2 linked regions of the Notamacropus eugenii genome follow. The protein of the gene in region 1 purifies or fractionates together with the protein of each later gene. This does not show direct contact. Links are inferred from orthologs where the notes say so. Each region holds a gene or a part of one and is shown on either strand. Other genes may lie near its edges.

Region 1 (7,289 bases):
TTACACATTATGAACAAATTCCAATCAATAAAGCATCACAATTAAAACAACTTTTAAACAATGCTAACATTGTTTCTGACAACAGAAAATTCATTAACAAGTTTAAAAAAATCCACACTTGAACCTGAATTTAAATTAAACAGTTATTACCACATCTCTGCACCTAAATAATGAGGGCATTACAACAGCTTGAGTTATAATCTCACTGGACTCAGTTTCCTCATCTGTAGAATGAAGGGTTGGAGTAGAGGACCGTGAAGATCCCTTCCAGTTCTAAAAGTAGGGGATGTTTAAAATGTTAATTTAGTTAGTCAAGGAACATTGTACAGTTTGAAACTGATCAGAGATTACAATCAGGTAAAAGTTATGAAAGATTACTCAGTGCCTGGAATTTCTTAAATTCCTATGGGCAATGAAAGGAAGAAATTAGTAGGATACAACATATGCCTTAAATCAGAACTTGCCTTTGTATTTCCATTCACGATTAGTGTGAACTAATCAAGAAAACTTGGTATGTTAAGTAGCAACAAGACAAAGGAAAATTCAGGGCACATAGTTACTAATCTTCCTGGGGTCCAATTAATGATTTTGGATTATGAAAAGCCAATGCATCTATTTAACTGGCTCTTATATACTGGTATAATATTTGGAAGATATACCCATTTGCAATTCCATTTCCTTTTAATATATAGTTCTTATTGGGTAAATCTAAAATGGGGAATCTATTTTATAGTTTCTGTTGGACGTTTTAACTGTCAGCTAGTCTTGCTAAAGCGTACCTGTATATCTATATAACGAATTCACAGATGCACCCCCAATCCCACTTTTCAGTTTGTCTACGGAGGGATATAGCTATTAACTACTTTTTCCTTCTTTCTCTTTACCAGAAGCCCCTCCCCCCCAGTTGTCCAGAGGCTTAAGAGAGCTTTAGACTCTAAAAAGGCCCATGTCTACTGCATTCTTGTAGACTGTTTTAAACTAATGTGAATGGGAAGTGGGAGTGGGAGAGATATTCTTTAATTAGTTACTCAAAGCCCAACTACTAGGCAGTATTTGGAAAACAAATTAGATTTTGAACAAGAATCCTATGCCAAGTTTTTGCCTAACAAGTTATTTCAAAAAATGAAAAGATGTTTAGTGTTTTTTTAACCCACCGCAATTTAATTAACATATAGCTGATTCCAGAAGAAAGCACCTCCGAGGTTTTTGGTTTTGAAAATCTCCTAAACGATATTATAATGAAATGGGGCGAATATTTAAAAGCAGCCATGTTCACAACCCCAGGAAGAATGAAAAAGCAATGGCTATCCTAGAATTAGTCATCGCTTCCCAAACATTAACTTTTAATCATACTTGGACTTCATGAGTCAACCTGTATAGCATTATCAAAGGCTGCCTGTGTTTAAAAAAAAAAAGTTGTAAAAAGCAACTCTAATCTTTCACAAATAACAAAAATGGCTCATTCAAAAGCATTTCACCGGAGAGTGAATTTCTAAAACTACTTAATGCGACTAACTTTTTAAAAGTGAAAAGAACTAACGATCTAAGGCACAAAAGTGCTGGAGGGGGGCAGGGCTCACTCCATAAACAACTTTCAGGAAAAGTCTCGGAAGTCTCTGAAGTGGAAGTTGTGTTTCGTAGCTCGGAAAAGTGCTAAAACTCAGAGGGACGGAAATAAATGCTTTCCTGGGGGGGGGCGGGGGGGGGGGGTGGGCAGATAGAGCGGAGAGCCAGAGAAAGAGTAAGAAACTAAAGGGACTGGTTCTACCCCCACCCCCTAATCAACGTTGGAAAACAAGAGAACAATTATTTGACTCCCCAGGAGACTGATGCGGACCGAGAGGCCCTCAAGGAGAGGGGGGCCCAGGGCTCAACTTCACCAACTAGGCTGCCGCTGGCAACTCACCCACACACGAAATGCCAGACTCCCCCCTCCCCCTCCCCCTCCCCCTCCCCCTCCGTCCAGCAGGGGAAGGAAGGAAGGAAGGAAGGTGCGGAGGGAGGGGAGGTGCTTGCATTGTGCAAGCCCACCAAGTAGCACAGAGCTCTCAGCAACTTTTCCCCACCCCCACCCCCCCCTGCCCAGTTCGTTCTCCTCCCCTCCCCGCCCCCCACAAACCTCCCCCCAACTCCTCCCGCCAACCTGGGAAAAAAGGGGGAAAGGAAGTTAAAAGGGGGCCTCCCCAAAGCCCCGCAAATCGACAACCCCCAGGACTGTGTAGAACTTCAAGGGAACACAGGGATCGGGGGGAGAAGAGAAAAAAAAATCTCAGCCCAGAACAGCCGCAGGGAGGGGCCGGAGGAGGGGGAAAGTCAGTCGGGGAGAGACTTCCCCTCACCCCCCGCCGCCCGGGCCCCGTAGTCCCAGTTTCCCACCCCCTTCCTCAGTGCCCTGAGAGCCCCCGGGACCAGCCCGTCCCCGCCAGCCAGAAGGGCCATGCTTCCAAGGCGCCCCCCCAGCCCAGACTCCCTGGGTCCCCCGAGCCCCGCGAGGGGGGGAGAAGGGATTCACAAGGGCAAGGAGGGGGGAAGGGAACGTGAAGTTACCTGTCGGGAGTGCGATTTGGGCTCCGGGGGCTTAAAGAAGGAGTCGGGCAGCTTTCTGAGGCGCATGGGCACAGTCTGGGGCACATTGGCGGTCTTGGGGTTCATGACGGCGTTGAAGAGCGCCTCCAGGTCGGTCTCCGAGTCCCCCCGGACGTGCACGATCTGATGCCCGGCGGGGGGCGGCGGCGCAGCCTGGGAGCCTGGAGCTCCCGGAGGCGCCGGCTGCCCAGGGCCCGTCGGGGGTCCCTGACCCTGACCCTGGGGGGGCTGAGCCGGAGCCGGCCCCTGGCCCTGGGAGGGCGGCTGCGGCGGCTGCTGGCCCGGATCCATGGCTCTCCCACCCTGAGCTTCCCACCCCCTAACCCGGAGAGGGGAGGGCTCCGCCCGTCCGGGACAGCCTCGGACCCGCAACTAGAATGAGAGGGGGGCCCCGCAGGCGCAGGCGGCTGGGCTGGCCTCCTCTCCTTCCTCCTTCTCCGGGTCTCCGAGCTAGGGGTCCGCGGGCCAGGGCCGCATCCCCTCTGCCCCCCCCCCCCCCCACGGGGCCCCCGGACTGTTCCCCGGACGCCGCTCCCAAGTTTCGGGAGTGGCTCAGCCGCCGGAAAACTTTTCTCCCTCAACTCCCTCTGCGGAATTCAGGCTCGTTCGTCCCTTTCTCCTCTTTCTCTCTCCCTCAGTTTCCTCCCTCCCTTCCTTTCTTTTCCCGGCGGCGGCTGCGCCCGACTGAGACCCAAACTCTCGGCGGACACCAAAACTAAAGTTTGGGAGAACGGCCCTCCCGAGCCGGCCGCCGACTCCGCCTCCTCCTGCCTCTGCGCGCCCGCCCGCCCCGAATCCGCGCCCAGGGAGGGGGGGAGAGAGAGAAAGAAAGAAAAAGAAAAAAAAACTTTCCCCCGAAGTTCCTCCTTCCCAGCCACCTCCGGGACCTCCAACTTCTCTCCCTGCTTCACGTGACCACCAAGCCACGGAGATCTCCCCCTCACCCTAATCCTCCCCGGTTGCTTAAAGGGACAGAAACTCGGGCCGTCGCTTCTCGGCGCTGCTGCGGTGGAAGGGCCAGGTCTGCGTTTAGGTTCGGTCCCCTTCCCTCCAGGGATTAAGGTTACTCTCAGCTCCCGGCTATCCTCGGGTGCCTGGTGCGGTCCGCTCCCCCAGACCACCCGCTTCCGCTTCTTCCCCTCCAGCACGCAGCCCTTCTTCTTACTGACGGTGTTCGCTTTGCTTTTGTACAATCACTCAAGTGCTAGGAGCCCCAGAACTGCCCTGATTCCGAGCCCTTCGTGCATTAAAAAGTTAATGCAGCAGCCCCGAGTCTAGAAGCGATCACTGCTGCTACTCATAAAACAGGCCAGGCTGGCACTAGGTTGTCCTTATGGATACTTCCACGTTTTGAGTAAAGGTCATTTATAAACAAAAATACTGAATTTTCCTATGTTCACTGACTGCCTTTCCCTAACTTGTGTCTACACGCCTTAGAGAAGGAAGTTATAGATTAAGAAAATTATCTGGATAATCTATTGAAGGGGGAAAAAGTAGTTTGGGGGGTGCTTACATGCTTATTGAAGAAGTTATGTACCCTTTGCTTATGGAACTTCAGTTCAACTTCTAAAAAGCTACTTTTTCTGGAAAAAAAAGAAGATGAAAGCAGAGTTCTCTTTATGATTGAGGGATTGTGTAAACTTTTTAACCCTACCTGTGACATTGTTATAAAACGCTTTATTGTAAAAGTCGCTACATTGTATAGTTTTTTGTAACTATTCCCCATGCAATAAACCTACAGTGTGGTTGTGGCATAATCTGTGGGGAAACAATGTCTGGAAGTGCTTTAAAGAAATGAGTTGTTTTTTTTAAAATCTGTTTTCCCAAGATATAAATGAGAGGCAGAGAATAATTGTAAGATCCTAGATTTAGAACTCCCAGGACCTCAGGCCATCTAGGTCATTGTGCGTGCTCCTTTTTTAGATGAGTCAGGCAGTCAGTCAACAAGCATTAATTAAATATTTACTATATGCCAAACACTGTGTTAAGATCTGAGGACACAAGGGCAACAAAACAAAAAACCCTCACCTTCTTGTGAAGCTAACGTGTAAACAGCTGTACATACTAGATGTATACAGACTAAAGGGAACCTCAGAGGGAAGGGGGGGATGGAAAGGAGACATGGGAAAAGCTTCTTCTAGGAGGTGGGCTTTAAGCTGAGTCTTGAAAGAAAGCAGGAGGCAGAGTATTCCAGAAATGGAGGATAGCTTGGGGAAGGGTACCAAGTCAGGTGAAGAAACAGCCAAGTAGGGGAAGGGATGTGTCACTGGATCATAGAGTTAATAGAGAATAAAATGAAAGGAAACTGGAAAGGTAAAAAAGGACTGGGTTATGAGGAGCTTTAAAAAAACCAAACAGAGGACTTTCTATTTGATCCTGAATATAACAGAGAAGCATTGGAGTTTTATTAAAGGGAGAGGATGACAGAGTCTGATCTGCTCTTTTAGAAAGATCCATTTGACATCTGAGTGGAAGAAAGAGTGGAATGAGGACTGACTTGAGACTAGTCAGCAAGCTATTGAAGTAGCTAGCCCAGGCTGAGCAGAAAAGGACCTGCTCCAGAGCATTGTGTGAGTGAAGAGAAGGGGACTCTAAGAGAGATATTGTGAAGATAGAAACAAGACTTGAGAACAGATTTGGATATGTGGGATACATTTTGAGAGAGCAGTTGAATATGTCACCAAGGTTGTGAGCTTGGGTGACTAGGAGGATGGGATGGCTTAACAGTAATGGGGAGAGTTGAAGCTGATTCCCAGAAAGATTAATTTGTTAATTTACTGTACGTATGTGTATGTCTGTAAATCCAAGTCCTTGTGAGAGATGTGGATATTTCCTGACAGAATTCAGTCCTTAAAGCATATTTTCTGTCTGTTTCTAAAGTTTGAGGGTACTACTTGTAGCTATGAGTGACTGAGTAAACTGTGTGGTGACAAAAAGTCTTCTGACTGACTGAGGAGCCAGAAGGACTGATGACTCATGAGTGTTTGAGTCAGAAGTGAATGTGTATACAAAAGGAGTAATCTGCTGAGAGCTGCCTTGTACTGGAATGGCAGCAAGGTATATTCCCCCACCTGGCCATGTGATAGTGAGTTCATGGCTGCTCTTCCTTTTGTGTTTCTTCTTCCCTAATCTTGGTGAATGTATGTGTCCTAAGACAGAATTGACCAGGTTACAGCCTTGGGACCTTGGAAGGTTCAGAACCATCTGAGGTCCCAGTGGACCTCATAAAGTTGATGACAAGGTCCATCAGAGGTGATAGCAAAGGATGATGACAGTGGAAGCACCTGCAGATGGATGTAGAAGGACAGACCAGTTAAGAAAGTCAACTTCAGAAATCATGCCCCATTAGGGGCAAAAAGAAACAAAGGCTATGGACTCTACCAAAACACAAACTTGGAACTCAACAAAGACCTAAAGGAAATTTCTTGGAGATTCCATAAAGGGAAAAAGAACTCAGTAACCAGGAACTATGAATTAACTCTTTGCCACATGCATCCTCTACATATGTTCTATTTACCACTGTAGTTTAAGCCCATTTTCTCACTGAATATGTAAGGAAAGAGAGAACTATTGAATTTAAAATGAAGGTGTGGCCTTTCATCTTGGCTTTACCATTTACTGCTTGTGAGACCCTGAGCAAATTACTTAAAATCTTTGTGCTTTAGTTATTCATCTGTAAATTGTTGGCGCTAGAGTAGATGTCCTCTGAGATCCTCTTTAACTCTAAATCTATAAGACTGATTCCATGATGATGGACAAGCTACTTATCTCCCAGTCTCCAGGCAGCTCCCTAAAACTATAAATTACAAATGAGTGGCTGATCTACAATGGTAGAGGAAGTTTCCACACTGGGAACTCCCTAAACTGATGGCATCACAGGTACAGATTCTGATAGCCCTCCCCCAGTGTCTCATTTCAGTATTTTGATCCAATAAGCATCAGAATCAGCAGCAGAGATATAAGTAAATTAAACTAGGAAAAGAATGCCAGAGAAAGATATCAAAGAACCTAATGAGGTTCTTCCAGAGGATGCAGATATTTTTAAAACTCTCATGAAGAAGTATGAATATTAAAATCATATGGTTATGGAATCATAAGAGAAAGAGACTTCAGAAATCATCTAGTTTAATCCATTACTGAAATATGAATGCCTTCCATCACTGACAGGCAACTAGGTGGGGTGTGTATGTGTTCGTCCTTCATTGCCAAAGAAGACCATGTCATCAGAGAAATAATGACATGACTTGCGCTTGACTTTGTTTTGAGTGAGGTAGGGCTGCAGGTCACCAGCCTCACTTCTCCTCCATAGCCATCTGAATCCGGTGACCAGATATTCATCAGGATGACTGGAGATGACCCAGAATGTGGGGTTAAGTGACTTGCCCAAGGTCATACAGCTAGTGAGTGTCAAGTGTCTGAAGTGAGATAGTTGTGTTGAAATCAGCAGGACCTGCATTCAAATCCTATCTCAGGCCTTTACTAGCTGTATGACTTTGGGCAAGTCACTTAACCTCTGACTACCTCAGTTTCATCATCTGTACAGTGAAGACAATAACAGCACCTTCCTTCCAGGGATGTTGTAAGGAATAAAATGAAAGAATTATAGTTCCTAACTGAAAATCTCCAGTAATAGAAAACTCACTACCTACCTCATGTCTATGCATTTGATTCCATTTTCAGGCCATTCAAATTGTCAAGAAATT
Region 2 (7,180 bases), on another chromosome or scaffold:
TCAAAGGGCCAAACTTGAGGACCTAGAGGGTCAAATGTGGACTTGAGTCTAGAGGTTCCCCACCCCTGGTCTAGTCTATTTTCTATCTTCTGAAAAAACATTTATTCAATTGTGGGAATTGTAGGAAAACTTCATTGCATTGTTTGAATCTAGCCCTGCCTGACGGAAAATTGGATCACCCAAAGGACCTAGGTTATCCCGACCAGAACTCGGTCAGATCTAAAGCCTAGTGGATGCAAGGAATCTTCTCACAATTATACATCTCAATGTAACCCATGTGTCTTATCTGAAAACTAGCCCCGTACCAATTAGTCAGTTATTGTTCCCATGTTACTTGGGTTGAATGCAAGCACTTGGGGGGAATAAGACATCTCTTTTTCTAATTTCAGGGAATTTCACTTGCTTTCTCTCCCCCTCCCAATTTAGAAAGTCCTTAATCTTTCATCCAATTAGAAATCAGATTACCTAATGTATCCTGGTTGTTTCCTTTTAATTAATTGGTCTTACTTGATTGTTTTTAGTGTATAAAAATCTATTTCCTCTAGTATTCAGGGTCCAGCCCTGAGCTGAAGAAGAGGCCTGGTCCTGATTTGTTAGGCAATTGGCACATATTGCTTAATAAATCAATATGCTTGGAAGCTCAAACCTTTATTTTCCCAGTCATTTCATCTTTCACCTATCACAATATACATTAAGATGTAACACGTGGCTAACTGTCTATAGCATAGCTTCACCTGGATATATCATAAACTGAGCATGTTCATCAATTTTCTCCCCTTGGATCCACTCACAGAGACTAACAATCTGCCATTTTTGTTTTGTCTCCCCTTTATCCTTCATTTTGAATTAATTGTGTTTGACCTGGGCAGGTCTCCAGTTTCCTTACCTATAAAATGGTATGGTTTGATCCCAGAATTAGAGTTACAAGAGACTTCAATCCAATTCTCCCATTTTACAGATGAGGAAACAGCATCCAGAAGAATTAAATCACTTGCCTAAGGACACACAGATAATAAGCATCCGAGGTGGAAGGTGAACCCCTACCCTCTGACTCAGTCAGGGCTCTTTCCCCTTGTGACAAGTTGTTGATTCACAACAGATTTCCACACCATCCAACTTTTCCTTATTTAGGTCCTTACCATCCCTTAACTTGAAGATGATAATAGTTCAGTGGCTCCCCATTGCCTTCAAATAAAGTCAAAACGTCTTAGCTTGTTAAGCCTCCCCTACCTCCCCTTACAGAGCAGCTATAACCTGTATTTGAAAGATTATCTCACTCTACTGTCTTTGCATATTCTACAGGCTAGACCAGGGGTGGGGAACCTGTGGCCTTGAGGCCACATGTGGCCCTCTAAGTATTTATTATTTACTAATCCTTAATAAAAGGATTTGTTCTGTGATGTTTGGATTCAGTCAAAAGGCTGCACTTGAGAACCTAGAGGGACACGTGTAGCCTCCCCATTCCTGGTCTAGTTATATGGTACTATTCACTGTTTCCTGACCTCTTGCTTCTCTATATATTTGTTCACGCTGCCAAGAATAGATCGCCTCCCCCCCATTCCCATTCTCTTTCTTTTTTTCTTTTTGGAGGCAATCAGGGTGAAGTGACTTGTCCAGGATCACAGAACTAGTAAGTGTCTGAAGCCCAGTTTGAACTCAGGTCCTCCTGATTCCAGGGCTACTCCCCGCAAGTGCTGATTCCCTCATCCTACTTGAGGGAATCTTCTTCCTTCGAGGTTCATCTCCCGGGCCTGAAACTTCCCTGACTCTTCCCAACTAGACAGAATCTCTCTCACTTTAAATTTCTCAAAGCAGTTTTGATCTCCCTTTTGCACTTTTCACATTCTCCCTGGCAGTGCACTTATGAACTACCTTCCCAAACAGATGGTAAATTTCTTGATAATAAGATGTTCCCACTTCATCTTTGATCTCAGAGACAAAGAATTATCAAAATAAACTTAAAATGTGTACAATTTTTCTATTTTTTCGACATTCAATATTCTTGCATCATACACAAAAGGAGGGTAGAAAAGCTAACAAAGGAATAATGCATTTTTATTCTAGGAAAATCAATCAAGGTTTTAACAGCCTGGTGTAGGGAATCAAACAATAGATTTGGGATCAATAAAACCTGTATTCAGATCTCATTTCTGTCGAGACATATGCGATTGTGGGTGCGCAAGTCACAACTTCAGATAATCTTACTATTAATCAAACAGCATTAATTTTTAAAATTTTATTTATTTTTAATTTATGAAATGAAACAAGTATTTCCATAACATAGAAGAAAAAAGATGATGGCACATGAAACTGAAATCTATTAAGTACGACTTCCTATTCCTTTTAAATATATAATAAAGTTATCGTTTAAACTTTTTTCCCCTTTTTTCCTTCCTCCTCTCCTCCCCCATTGACGGGGGTCGGTCCTAGGCGCCTGGGCGGATAGGGGCCTCCCCGGGAGTGGCAGCCCACCAATCCGAGGGAGACACGGCTCCCATAGAGGAGTTGTGAGCCCACGGGATTGGTCGGGTGGGCTGGATCCAATCGGGTGGTAGGCCTCGCCCTCGGGGCGGGTTAGGATGGCAGCCCGGAAGAACCTCCCTATATAAGACAACGCCCTGAACTGCTCGTGGGACTCCTCCATGCAATAAAGCTATGAACCTCCTGCGCATTGCCTGATTATTGCCTGCCGCCGTGTCCCCCGGGGTAGGTCCGGAGACGTCCGAAGCGGTGCCCACCGAAGGGAGATTCTCACTCGAAGGTCCCGGGGACAGACCCGGGACACCCCATAGCTAAATGTATCCCAGTGTTGGGATACAAATTAAAGACAAAAGACGGTCCCTGCCCTCTAGGAGCTCACTGTCTAATGGGGGAGACAATATACAAGCTATATACAAACAAGATACATATAGGATAAATTGGAGATAATCAACAGAGCAACAGTAGCAATAAAGGGCATCTGGTTGCTATGAAACTCAAGTGAGGCATCTACGTAGCCAACCCCCACTTTCACCCAGATAAAGTGCAGGTAGGATCTTATGTAAACTTTGTATATCCTCCTCACCCTCCCTTCTCCCTTTCCGGCTCCCACCCAGAGAAGGACTGAAGTCCTAAATGAAGTCCAGGGTGAGGAAATCACCTCTATCAATATCGGGAACACCACACACACACACACACACACACACACACACACGTCTTCTTAAGGAAGAAAGAGTAAGGCTGAGTTGGTAGCTCACTTAAATCCAGTTCATCAAAGAGGCAAGACGTCACCCGGTGATGTCACTGATCCTTTTTAAGAACCAACACCACATTACATCATGCAGATCCATCAGCGAGGTCTTCTCCTTTCTGGGCTGAGCTGGGAGGGGGCCAGGTCCAAGTATTTACGTAAGCCTTTGTCTGTTTCCTCCCTAGTCCGGGGGGACTGGTCTGAACCTGCGGAGAAGTCCAGGAGCATGTATTTACTTGCAAGGACAGCTAGGTGGGCTAATGAATAGAGCGGGGCCCTGGAGTCCAGAGGAGATGAGTTCACGTCCAGCCCCAGACACTTGCCAGCTGTATAGCCCTGGGGAAGTCACTTAACCCTGTTTGCCTCAGTTTCCTCTTTCCTAAGAAAACCCCAAATGAAGTTATGAAGAGTCGGACGCGACTGAAAACCACCAGACCCTGCAAAGCAGCGGGGATACGAAGAAAGGCAAAAAAAAAATAACCCAAGCGAACAAAACCCTTATATCTGCTCTCAAAAAGATGCAAACAGCTGTGCCCAAACAAGAGAAAAAAATACATCGGCGGGAGGGGGATGGTAGCCCCAGTTTCCTAGAGCTCTGAAAAAGCAAGGGACTCGCCCAGGGTCCCGCAGCCTCCGGTCTCGGTAAACTAGCTGTAGTCGGTACTTGACAAAGGTTAACGGAGTTGAATCGCTCGGCAGACTGGCGATGCCGGGTCTCCCCGCCAGGAGGCGCCTTACGCTCTCGGGCCAGCTCGCGCCACACCCACCCGAAAGGCGCCTACCTCCCAGGGAGGGGTTTTCCCCTTCGCGCCTCCTCCCCACCACCCCTCTCCAAGCGCAGGCATTAGTAATCTATCTCGGGAGAGCGGCGCGGCGCGCGCAGGGCTCTCGGCGCTCACTCCAAAGCCCACTTCCCTGGGCCGCCCGCGGTGGGCGGGAGAGAAAGCTAGGCGCGCGAGAGGCGGAGGCGAGGCGGCACGCGGCGTAAGTGGGGACCAGGGGCTCCCCCTCCCGACGCTCACGGCCAGTCTCGGTGGTGCGCCGCCGTTCCACGCGTTCCGAGGACAGAAGGAAGGAGAAGGCGGTGGGAGGATGGCGGAGCCGGCGGACAAGCCCTACCGGGCCGAGTACGCAAAGAGCGGGCGCGCCTCCTGCAAGAAATGCGGCGAGAGCATCGCCAAGGACTCGCTCCGTCTGGCCATCATGGTGCAGGTAGGAGGACCGACCCGGGAAGCCCCTTGGGTGGCCTCTCCGGCGGGGCCTGGGGAAAGTGAGCCGGAGCTCTCCGGGCCCTCCCCCCGCTCCCCTCCCTCCCCTCCCCCCGCCTTCATTCCCAGGAGGCTTCGATCCTGCAGCCGGGGTGGGGGCGGGGCGCCCTTGGCCTTGCGCTCTACCCCCTGCCGGGTTTTCGCGACCCCCCCCACCCCTCCCCCTCCGGCTGGGCCGGGCCGCTTTGTGTACACTTGCCTAGCTCCGGGTCGGGGCTGCTCCTCCCCCACCTAGGGAGGTCCCTAAACTTTTCTTTTGGCCTTTTTAAAAACGATAACCATCTTCTCGGAGAAGATCCTGTTAGGCCCCGGGAATGGGGTAGGCGCCGGCGCGTCTCCGGGCCTGCCGAGGAGGTTTTGCGGACCCCGGCAGCAAAGGCTGGGCCTCGGGAAGAAGCCAGCTGGGGTCCGTTAGGAGCCCTTTCTGCGGGCTCGGCAGGCCGCGTGGACGGCGGGCTCCGCAGCTGCTCGGGGCGGGGGGCTTGGGTACCGAGACCGGCTGGGGGCCCACCTCCCCGATGTTATCTCGTCCCCACGCGGTGGAGGAATGGTCCAAAAGTGAGCATCACCCGTGGGATCCTCAGATAGGAAGGACGGGAAAAAGAAAAAATAAAGGCCGAGTGGCCTCATTTTCCGTCCTTTAAAATTGTCCCCTGGAGGGCTCTGATTTTCCCGCTGCCATATTCCTTGGGCTTTGGCTGAGGTCGGGCAAGCAGATGAGCAGCTGTCCGCAAGAGATGTTTTTTTAAAAAATTCGCTTAATGGAAGTCACTCACATAATGTAGCAGATCATGTTTGTGTATGTGTATCTGTTTGTGTATCATGTTCTGATTTGTTATATGGATTCTTTCATTTATCTTAGTCTGACTACATAGCATGACTATAGTGAAAATATACTCAATAGGAAAGTATATGTAGAATCTATACAGAATTGTATGCAGTCGTGGGGAGGGAGGGAGGTAGTGGGGGGTGGGTGGGGAGGGATAAAATCGCAATTGTATGGCAGTGATTGTTAAACATTAAAAAAATAAAAAAATTAATAAAAAAAAAATTCGCTTAATGGACGTGCACGTTTTAATGCTGGGAAATGGCAGCTCTCGGCACGTAGATATTTCGTGGTAAACGACACAGCCCCGGACTTCGGAAATGCACCTTAGGGATAGAATTTTCAGACTTTTTTTAGGACACACAGAGATGCCTGCCCCCAGCTCTGCGCTGGAACTCGTTGGTGAAGGGGTTAAAATTCCCACCACAGAGCCCCGTTGGGCCATCGTTGTTCCAAAACGGGCTTCTGGGACCGCAAGGTGTTGATATTTGAGACTGGAAACATGACTTGCAGGAGTTTTTCTAATAGAAGATGGAACTGAGGGGAAGGCCTTGAGTGCACACCCAGTTATGTCTGATTCTTCTGGGAGGGTGAAGGACGTTTAACTCATTAAATTTCACTTGTAAGTTACTCTTTTTCCAAGTCTTCCCCAGGCTGCCACTGCCATTCTCCCATCTCCTCATCTTTCTTAGTTTGGATCAGGTCCCTTGAACATTTAGTTCAAAACAAGGAGCTCACCATCCTCATCCTCATCACAGAGTGCTCAGCTGGGTGTGGAAGTGGGAGTACCATGTCTGGAGTCAGGAAGACTCGTCTTACTGAGTTCAAATTTGGCCTCAAGACACCCTGGGCAAGTCATTTCACCCTGTTTGCCTCAGTTTCCACATCTGTAAAATGAGCTAGAGAAGGAAATGGCAAACCGCTCCAGTGTCTGCCAAGAAAACCCCAAAATGGGGTCGTGAAGAGAACCCACCGAACAACAACATAAGTGGGCGAGATCCGGATCTCCTACAACTAGCCCTCTCCCTTTCATTCTTGTGCCCCGATCTCTTCCCCTCTCTAAATCCTACCCATCTGTTTCCTTGGAGCCATCCTCTAACACCAACCCTTATTCATTTACCCTAGAAGTAGCACATCATCACCTGTGACCTAAAAATACACAATCCTGTGTGCTGATTGGTTCATGGGTCTTAGCTTTGTCTTTTAATTAGGCAGCAGTACTGTGGGGAAAGTTCTGACTACAGAGTCAGGAAACTAGGGTTCAAACCCACTTCTGTTTGTGTGGCCCAAGGCAAGCCACTTGAGCTGTAAAAAAGAAAGGGTTGGACTGCTTGGTCTCTTAGGTCTCTTCATATTCTACTTATAGAATCCTTAAAATCATCAAAACCTGGAGGAGACCTCTTAAGAAATAATAGTGCGTGAGCACTAGGTTTGGAGTAAAGAGATCCAAGTTCCAGACTGTATTCTGCCTGTCACTATCTTTGTAGCCTTAGCCAATTTTAGGTCTGTCTCAGTTTCGTTCTGTGGAAAAGAAAGGCATTGAACTTCATAGATGATTTCTGGGGACCTTTCTAGAGCTAAGGTTCAATAATTCTAAGTAATCCCAGCACTACCAATCTTAAAAAGGAAATATGTCCAAATGGAAAAACTTTATGAAGAATATTGGACCAAAAAAAATCTTCAGAATAATTAGGAAACTCAGACAGGGCCAGTAAATAAGAGAAAGCAATCATTCCTCTGACCCTAGATCTGATGATGGTTTCCTACTTCCCAGGGAAAGGAGCCAGGATTTATTTTTTATCTGTCCTTAGAATTCAACCTGACGATTTATCTAATATTTTTTTCTTTTTTATTATA

The links. Proteins that work in one complex are often made in the same cells at the same time.
Region 2: the proteins of YAP1 (region 1) and PARP1 purify together in Homo sapiens (affinity purification with mass spectrometry, with the first as the bait; 3 studies listed by BioGRID). This does not show direct contact. The link is inferred for Notamacropus eugenii from reciprocal best matches to the Homo sapiens genes YAP1 and PARP1.

Annotation. Positions count from the first base shown.
Region 1 is NC_092876.1:154,292,099-154,299,387, forward strand, and holds the start of YAP1 (transcriptional coactivator YAP1), read right to left. Parts: upstream 3,029-7,289; 5' UTR 2,878-3,028; coding exon 2,548-2,877; intron 1-2,547. UniProt on the Homo sapiens protein: Transcriptional regulator with dual roles as a coactivator and corepressor. Critical downstream regulatory target in the Hippo signaling pathway, crucial for organ size control and tumor suppression by restricting proliferation and promoting apoptosis.
Region 2 is NC_092873.1:409,803,496-409,810,675, forward strand, and holds the start of PARP1 (poly [ADP-ribose] polymerase 1), read left to right. Parts: upstream 1-4,078; 5' UTR 4,079-4,321; coding exon 4,322-4,441; intron 4,442-7,180. UniProt on the Homo sapiens protein: Poly-ADP-ribosyltransferase that mediates poly-ADP-ribosylation of proteins and plays a key role in DNA repair.